Linked DNA regions of Cricetulus griseus. The protein of the gene in region 1 binds, or shares a complex with, the protein of each later gene. Links are inferred from orthologs where the notes say so. Each region holds a gene or a part of one and is shown on either strand. Other genes may lie near its edges.

Evidence for each region. Proteins that work in one complex are often made in the same cells at the same time.
Region 2: the proteins of Itsn1 (region 1) and Fchsd2 are in contact, whole or in part, in a crystal structure (PDB 6GBU), measured with the Homo sapiens proteins. The link is inferred for Cricetulus griseus from reciprocal best matches to the Homo sapiens genes ITSN1 and FCHSD2. Residues at the interface, in NP_003015.2 of Homo sapiens: Pro1076, Ile1078, Gly1098, Leu1100, Leu1102, Gln1117, Ala1118, Arg1119, Gly1120, Lys1121, Lys1122, Arg1123, Leu1136, Ser1137, Pro1138; in NP_055639.2 of Homo sapiens: Tyr576, Gln581, Thr582, Asp584, Glu585, Gln602, Asp603, Asp604, Asp605, Gly606, Phe607, Val618, Pro620, Val622, Leu623.

What each region holds. Positions count from the first base shown.
Region 1 is NC_048597.1:5,925,755-5,929,317, reverse strand, and holds part of Itsn1 (intersectin-1), read left to right. Parts: intron 1-1,649; coding exon 1,650-1,855; intron 1,856-2,433; coding exon 2,434-2,516; intron 2,517-3,563. UniProt on the Homo sapiens protein: Adapter protein that provides a link between the endocytic membrane traffic and the actin assembly machinery. Acts as a guanine nucleotide exchange factor (GEF) for CDC42, and thereby stimulates actin nucleation mediated by WASL and the ARP2/3 complex.
Region 2 is NC_048596.1:98,440,465-98,444,491, reverse strand, and holds the start of Fchsd2 (F-BAR and double SH3 domains protein 2), read left to right. Parts: upstream 1-1,222; 5' UTR 1,223-1,535; coding exon 1,536-1,556; intron 1,557-3,264; coding exon 3,265-3,362; intron 3,363-4,027. UniProt on the Homo sapiens protein: Adapter protein that plays a role in endocytosis via clathrin-coated pits. Contributes to the internalization of cell surface receptors, such as integrin ITGB1 and transferrin receptor.

The DNA.
Region 1 (3,563 bases):
GGAGAAGAGGCCATCATGGATAGCGAGAGTCAACCTCTTGGTGACTGAGGAAAGGGAAAGTCATGCAGCGTGCAAGCGTGCTGTGAGGAAGGAGGAAGTTGAGCCACGAGAACTCTGCTGGTTTGTGAGGAGTGGAGCAGCGCGTCAGTCAGCGTAAGTGAGGGGCCTGTGCATTGAGCGGCCTGCAGTGACCAGGACAGGGAAAAGCAGGGGTTCCCTGGAAACCAAAGTCACCACTGGCCGCAGCACTGCCCAGCTCAGGACCAGGGACTGTGGTACTACAGCCTCGTCACAGTCACAGCAAAGACGATAGCAGGTCTTTCTGAACATTGTGACAGCCTTCAGAAACTGAGGCTTGGAGAAATCCGTCATTGCCCAAGTGTCGCAGAATTAATTATTAAGTGGCAGATCTGGGATTCAGCCCCCGTGCTGAAGTCTCATCTGACCTCGGGCTGGTTCAGAACCTAACATTTAGGGAAGGAGTGTCAAGGGAGATGTCCCAGACTTTTGTAAAGGCACAGAGCAAATGGCTTCCCTTCCACTCTGGCCTGGAAGTCCTGACATAGCTGAGAGGAGTAGGCAAGGCAGAAGCACTGTGATCACTGGGCAAGTAGGAAGCGACAGGTGGAGAACACAGTGATCTTGGTGCTAAAATGAAAGAAAGTCAGAATGTTTAGGTGTAGGGAGGTAAGAATCCATGCAGAGCAAGGGTCAGAGGTCACACACACACTCACAGAAGTTTCCTGTTTCATGCAGTCAGATCTTACCGCAGAAATAAAAATCACCTCAGTCAATCGCAGACAGATCCAGACCAGCTGTCCTTGCACATGAACTTCTGCTCCTTATCCATTTATGTGGAGAATCCAAGTGGGGCTTGTTTTAGTTGTTTAAGTCGCCGCCATGATTTTTAAGTAGATAATAAGTGCCTCACCTGCCTTTGCAGCCTTGTCTCCTGCCCTGCCACTTCCTCTCCTCTCGAGGCCTTTGCCTTTGGCCTGGAGTGCCCTTCTGCAGTGCTAGCTCTCAAACCCTTCTCGTCCTTCAGGGCTCAAATGCCTCTTCCCCTGTGAAACTGTCCCTGGTGCTCCAAGGCAGGCTTTGTCCTTCTTGCCGCTCTGATCTCACGGTGAGGCAGGAGAACTTTTCTGTAGTGTGTTTCACTCCTCCAAGTGATATATTTTGCTGTTTTTCTCTCTTCCTGGTACACTAAGTTCCTATTACTAGAGGATATTCTTATAGCACTTTAATGTTAATAAAATGCCAATTCCCAACTATGTGGAGGGAGCAGAAGTGATGTTTTCCTCATCCTTATAACCCCACGATGTCCACAATCATGGGAAAAAACAAGCACAGTCCAGTGCATGGCCTGTTTTCATGTGTCCACCTAAACTGAAACACCATTCAATCCTGAAATGTCTGCCCCGTTACATCAAAGTATAAAAGATGCACAGCCAGTGCATCTGAAGAAGTAAGGCTGGGTGGGGCTCTGGGAGCGGCCGGCAGGGTTTTTAGATCTCCACATTTAAAATGAACAATTGCAGAGAAGCCACGAGGCGCCTAGCATTCCTGCCAGGCAGAGACGGTGTCTCTGTCTTGGTTGATTAAAAAACTGCAGTGTAATCACGGGTCCTTTATGTCATCCCACACAGGGTGAAAAAGTGGAGGGGCTACAAGCGCAAGCCCTGTATCCTTGGAGAGCCAAGAAAGACAACCACTTAAATTTTAACAAAAACGATGTCATCACCGTTCTGGAACAGCAAGACATGTGGTGGTTTGGAGAAGTTCAAGGTCACAAGGGTTGGTTCCCCAAGTCTTACGTGAAACTCATTTCAGGGCCCGTGAGGAAAGCTACCAGGTACTTTATTGTTATCTGCTTCTGTTTGACGGAAACAGTATTAGCAATTGTTGTCCCTGCTGGTTAGATTCACTGGTGGGAGCTGCAGGATGAAGTGTGTGTGTGAAGGGTGGAAAGGGATCCCGTTCTCCTGAGCAGCCTGTGCACTGTGTTGCCTTGTCTAAGAATCCCGCAGCTGTTGGGAATTGTGACTCTGGATGCTTAGTACCCAGTACAGTACCAAATACAAGGCATTTGGGGAATCGACTGGAAGAATGAATGAATGGCTTTCTTCATTAGTGTCTGCATGTAGCATAGAACTATTGGATTATTCCACCATGCAAAGATAGCAGAAATAGCCCACAACATCTGCTAGTCAGTGCTGAAGAGACTGCATTGAGCTTGTGTGTCCTGTGTAGTGAGTGGGCAAAGCAGACGGGTGAGCGTGGTCACGCATGCCTCCAGCACTCTCACTGTGGCCGTACCCAGCTGCTAGTGACTGCTGCAGCTTTGGTCTTCTGTAGCTTTCAAAGAGAAAAGCAATGTCATTTGGTATTCTCAGGTGAGAGTTAAAATACTCTTTTCTTCCCTTCTTACAGCATCGATACTGGCCCTACCGAAAGTCCTGCTAGCCTAAAGAGAGTGTCTTCCCCAGCAGCCAAGCCAGCCGTTCCTGGAGAAGGTGAGGACGGGGTGTGTCCGCTCTCTTTAGGAGGCTGAGCACATTACTTGGTGCAGACTGTAAATGACCATGACTGGATTCACTTTTAAATAGGCCGGATGTTTCTGTCCTGCCTAATGATGTCTGGCAGTGAGAAGCCCACTGCGTCCACCAGGGGTCAAGTTCTGAGCATGTGTCAATGACGGCCTTGCTTCCCCGTGTAGCCCTCTTGTCTTGTTTACATCCATAACTGTATTGCTTTAAAACTGATGGCACAGTCCAGTGAAGCTCTCAGAACACCACGAGTGCCTTGGGTACACCCCAGCTGAGCCACAAGATCTCTGTGCTCTGTGAATGACCAAGTCAGGTTACATAGGCTTATTACAAATAATTCATTGCTTTTTTCCCCCCTCTGACCCTTGTTATATGGCATAGTCCTAGGTATTATATGCCAGGCTGTAAAAAGAGGTATTTTAAAGTTTTACACAGTTGAGGCCTCACTGGTCTCCTCCACGCTCACCGCAGTCATTACCTGGTAGCGCTGGCCGGGGCCACCTGAGTTAAGCATCTGTGTGGCAGTGAGCAGGCTCTGCAGTTACAGATGTCGGCAGAGGTGTGTGGCAATCTTTTCACAGGTGTCTGGAGTACATCTGTGATGACAGAGTGTGCTTCATGTGCTGTGGTAAAATTGTTGTGTTCCTTAGAAACTTTGCCAGCGGAAAACAGAGTTCTCGGAATAATTGCTTCAGCAGAGGCTGCACGGATGAAGGCTTAATGCTCGTTCCAACTCCCAGGAACACTAGTCCATTCTTAAGGAGACTTTTCAAAATAATGGTTGTTTAGTTTGCAGGCATAGTTGTAAAACCCTATCGCCACTTAAAAAATTCCAAATTTTTCCACGTAACTATTACTATTTTTTATATGAATATACATATTTATTATTATATGGACTCTCCTAGGATAATCTTTACACATTCACATTTCCTTAATAATTATTTTAGCACTATTAGAACAAGGCAAAAACCTCTTTTTTGATATAACATGCTTTCAGCCTAATTAAAAACAAAT
Region 2 (4,027 bases), on another chromosome or scaffold:
CAAGGGCTTCCGTCAAAAGATTCCTCCATGGCCTTGCTGTCTCCCTATGGTTCTTATTCTTCACCTATTCCCTTTCCTTTCTTTCCTCTTTCGTGTTGGTCATGAACCCAGGACCTCTATACTCTAACGCCGAGCAAAGTCCACCTCCCCAACCTCAGCCCTTGCTTGTTTCTTTATAACCCACATAACCCTCCTGACTCAAGGAGTCTAGTCATTCCACGTGACCTTGGCACCATCTCCACTTCTCTGCGGACACTGGCCTTCCTATCTGTGATAGGGGAGTGCCGGACTCAAGAGTTTTTCGTTCTTTTCCAGTCGACTCTACGTTCTCTGGCTAAATGCTCTGTAATTCAGAGCCAGCCTTTGACTGGAAATTTTAGGTTCTTTCCACCTGTCCCCCTCCAATGGCATAGGCCTGGCACCTGCGGCCAGTTGTAAAAGGACTTATTCATGCTCAATTTCCCCAGTGCACTAGGAGGGAGGGTACCTAAGGGACCGAGAGGAGGCAGCATGAGGAATTCTGCTCGCTACTACCTCCTCTTTGCAAATAATCCCACTTAGAGCATTGAACCTCTACTCCTGAGAAATTCCCATACAAACAGTGCAGTCGCAGACTGGAGGCGGGGGCGTCCTGTGCGCGTGCGTCGGCGCAGAACCCTCTCCCGCCCACGTGCGCGCTCCCGGGAGGAGGCGCGCGCCCCGGCGGGCTGGCGGGAAGGCGCGCGGGAAGCCCCCAGCTGCCTTCTCGGTGTGGGGGGAGGGAGAGTGGGAAGCGTCTGGAACGTTCCACTCTAAGAGAGAGCCGGGGGAATCTTTCGAGCCCCGCTCCCGTTTCCGTCCTTCTCCTCCGCCGATCAATCCATGAAGTTTCCCCCCACTTCTCACACCGAGATCCGGAGCCCCGTGGCGCGGCCTCGCTCCCCCTGAAGCAGGCGGTGGCCAGAAGCGCTTCCCTCTGCCGCCGGAGCGGGGCGCTGTGGCGCGGGCCGGGGCCGGAAATTCCCGCGGCCTGAGTGGTTGGCGGAGCCCTAGCGGGGAGAGCAGCCCCGCCTTCCTCCTTCCCGGCCGGGCGGGGGCGTCGGGCAGCGCGAGGGCCTGGTTGCCCGAGTGGGTGGGGGGCCGCCGCGTCAGCCAGCTGCAGCCGAGCCGCGGCAGGCGGCAAGCGCGGCGACGGCGGCCGCTCCTCCTCAGCAGCCCCGCGAGCCGCGAGCCCCCCAGCGCCCCCGCTCGCGCCCCCGCCCCCTGGCCGTCCCCGCCTCCTTCCCTCACACACCCCCCGGGCCGCCCGGGCCCCAGGCCTTCCCGGCGCTCCTCCTCCCTCTCTCCACACTCTGCTGCGACCCGGGTGCTGCTGCGGTCCTCCTGCCTCGCTGTCTCCGGGGCGAGTTCTCCTCCTCCTCAGGCTCTCCTTTCACACACACACGCGCGCGCCCTGGCTCTCTGGGCCGCCCCCTTTTCTCCAGCCCTCCTCACCCTCACAGTCCTTTAAACGCCGCCGTCGGGGGTGGGCGGAGGATTAATGTCCCTTCAGCATCATGCAGCCGCCGCCGAGGAAGGTAAGGGCGCCGCTGGCGGGGGGCTTTGGAGATCTGGGGGGTGGCGGTGCGTACAAAGAACGCGGCTGGGGCGACCGCTGCGCCCCCTCCCCCTTCCCGCAAGGGGCCGTGACCGCTCTCGCCTCTTGGCTTGTCACTGAGTTGCCGCCTGCTCCAGGCAGGGGGTCGAGTGTGTGAGGTGTCTTTCCGACGGAGGGCGGCCAGTGCTTGTCCACTGCACTAGGGATTACCGCCCCTCCGCCCCGGACATTCGCTAGAGTTTTTTCGGGCATGCATATGTGTGTCTGTCTGCATGGCAGTGTTGCCCAGTGCAAAGTGCTTTCTCGGGGCTGCACAGAGGGGAGGCGGGGGGAGCCCCTGCAGATTTGCAGAGCCCTGTGCGTGTGGGATTGTTTAGTCTGAGCCAGGTTCGAGTCCTCCAGTTGCTTGTCGACACCCCACCCATTGGCACATTTGCGGAGACACGGGGGGGGGGGGGCGTTGTTTTAAGTCTAGCCCCAAAATTTGGCCTGTTTTTCCCACGGGGCTGCGGAAAAGAAGTTGGTACGGTCATCTCCCTCCCACCCCAAGGGAAAGCAAATTAAGGATTGACGGGTCCTGCTCTCCCCCCCCCCCCCGGACGCCCAGCCCCGCCTCCGGCTAAGGGGCCAGGGAAACTGGCTTCCAGTATGAAAGCCAGAACCTGGCGATGCGTGGCTTGAGCACTAGGGCCGGGGTTTGCATGGCCTGGGTGGCAGTGACGGGCCGTACTCCGATGCTTGCCAGCAGCTTACCCTGCTGCGCCGCCCTTCTCCACCTTTCCTGGCGGCTAAGGCTGTGTCCTTGTCTTTGTAAATCTTTCAGATGGATACTAGATATCTACTCTGAGCAGTGGGTAGAGACAGTTATATCTTCCCCTCGTGGGCAAACATTTGCCACATGAGTAACTCAACGTTTGTTTCCTTTCCTTTCCCTTTCTTAATCTGGATTTCTCCAGTTAACTCATTCCCCCACCCCCTTCCCCCTGCACGTGTACCCCACCTCTCCATGTCGCTTTGCCCTGGTGGCCAGAATTCCACCATACTCGAAAACCATTTGCAACCCCCGGGGTCCGGTCTGGCCGGGGAGTCTCCGGCCAGCTGGCTTCGGCGGTTTTCGTTGTTTGAAGTGGGGCTGCCACCTGGCCTGGCTTACTGGGTTAGTTTAAAAGCCCTGCATATTCTAGAAGGTCACTTTTACGTTCTCCTTTGTGAGAAAAAGATTGTGATTTGATGCGCTGTCAGAGTGGAGGGCATCATTCTGAGACGGTGTTCTTTCTAGCAGCCATTATGGAATATTTTATGTAATTTATTCATGCATATTATTTCATGATTGTGTAAATTTCAGTTGCTAGGTATTAGGTACTGTATGCTTTCTTTCATCTGTGCTCACTGCTCCTGGTGGTTAATGTCTGTCTGTGTCTTTGGGAAGAAAGAGAAGACAGAATTGACAGTTTACACTCTTTAAACTGTAATTTTTGAATTTTTAGTCAGCCCCTGTTTTAGAAATTCTGGCAAATTTTTTCATTAATCATAGTTAAGTAGTAAAACTAAGTGGCAAATAATGAATTTTTTAGTTTTTATGGAGAGGAAAACTAGAAGTATACAGTCTAACAAATACTGTTTTCTTTAAGGAATTTTTCTTGTTCAAATTGTAGTAAAAGTCTTCATAAGTACATGTTGTGTTTTAGGTGAAGGTTACACAAGAACTGAAAAACATTCAAGGTGAGCAGATGACAAAACTTCAAGCCAAACACCAGGCAGAATGTGATTTACTTGAAGATATGAGGTAAGATTACAGTAAAGAATTGGAGAACTGTCTCTGCCACTGAGGACTTTTGAGTTGCCAAGCCCCAGGATCTGATGATGGAATTTCCTTTTGGATTTCCTGCTTTCAGGCTGCAGAATTTTGACTCAGCTGGAAGTTAGAACTGGAACTAACACAGTGCAAACTTTTCCTCAGTGTACACATACTACTGAAAAACAGGGCTTTAAGAGTAAGTCTGTCAGTTTGTAATCACTCAACTGAAAATTCTTACATCTTTTCACCAAGTAGTAAGTTATTATTGGCTTTAGCAATTCTACACAGACTTGTAAGCTGACACTTATGGTTAATGGTTAGTATCTGGGTTGCACCAGTCACCCCAGGCAATTTAATTGTTTGTTAAAACACGGCAAGTATAATTTGGTCTAAGTGTGCAATTCAGTGAGATCTATTTGTCATGTTTTATTAAAGCTACCTATATTCATAATCAGGGGATTCTGAATTTAATAGATAAGACATTGCATTCAGATTGTGAAAATGAATGTTATGACTGACTAGTGAGATGGACATGGTGGTACATATCTGGACTCCCAGTAATCCCAGCTCTCTGGAGGCTGAGGTAGGAGGCGTACAAATTCAGGGCCAGCTTGGGCTACAAAGGGAAACAGTTTTTTTAAAAAAGGGAAAAA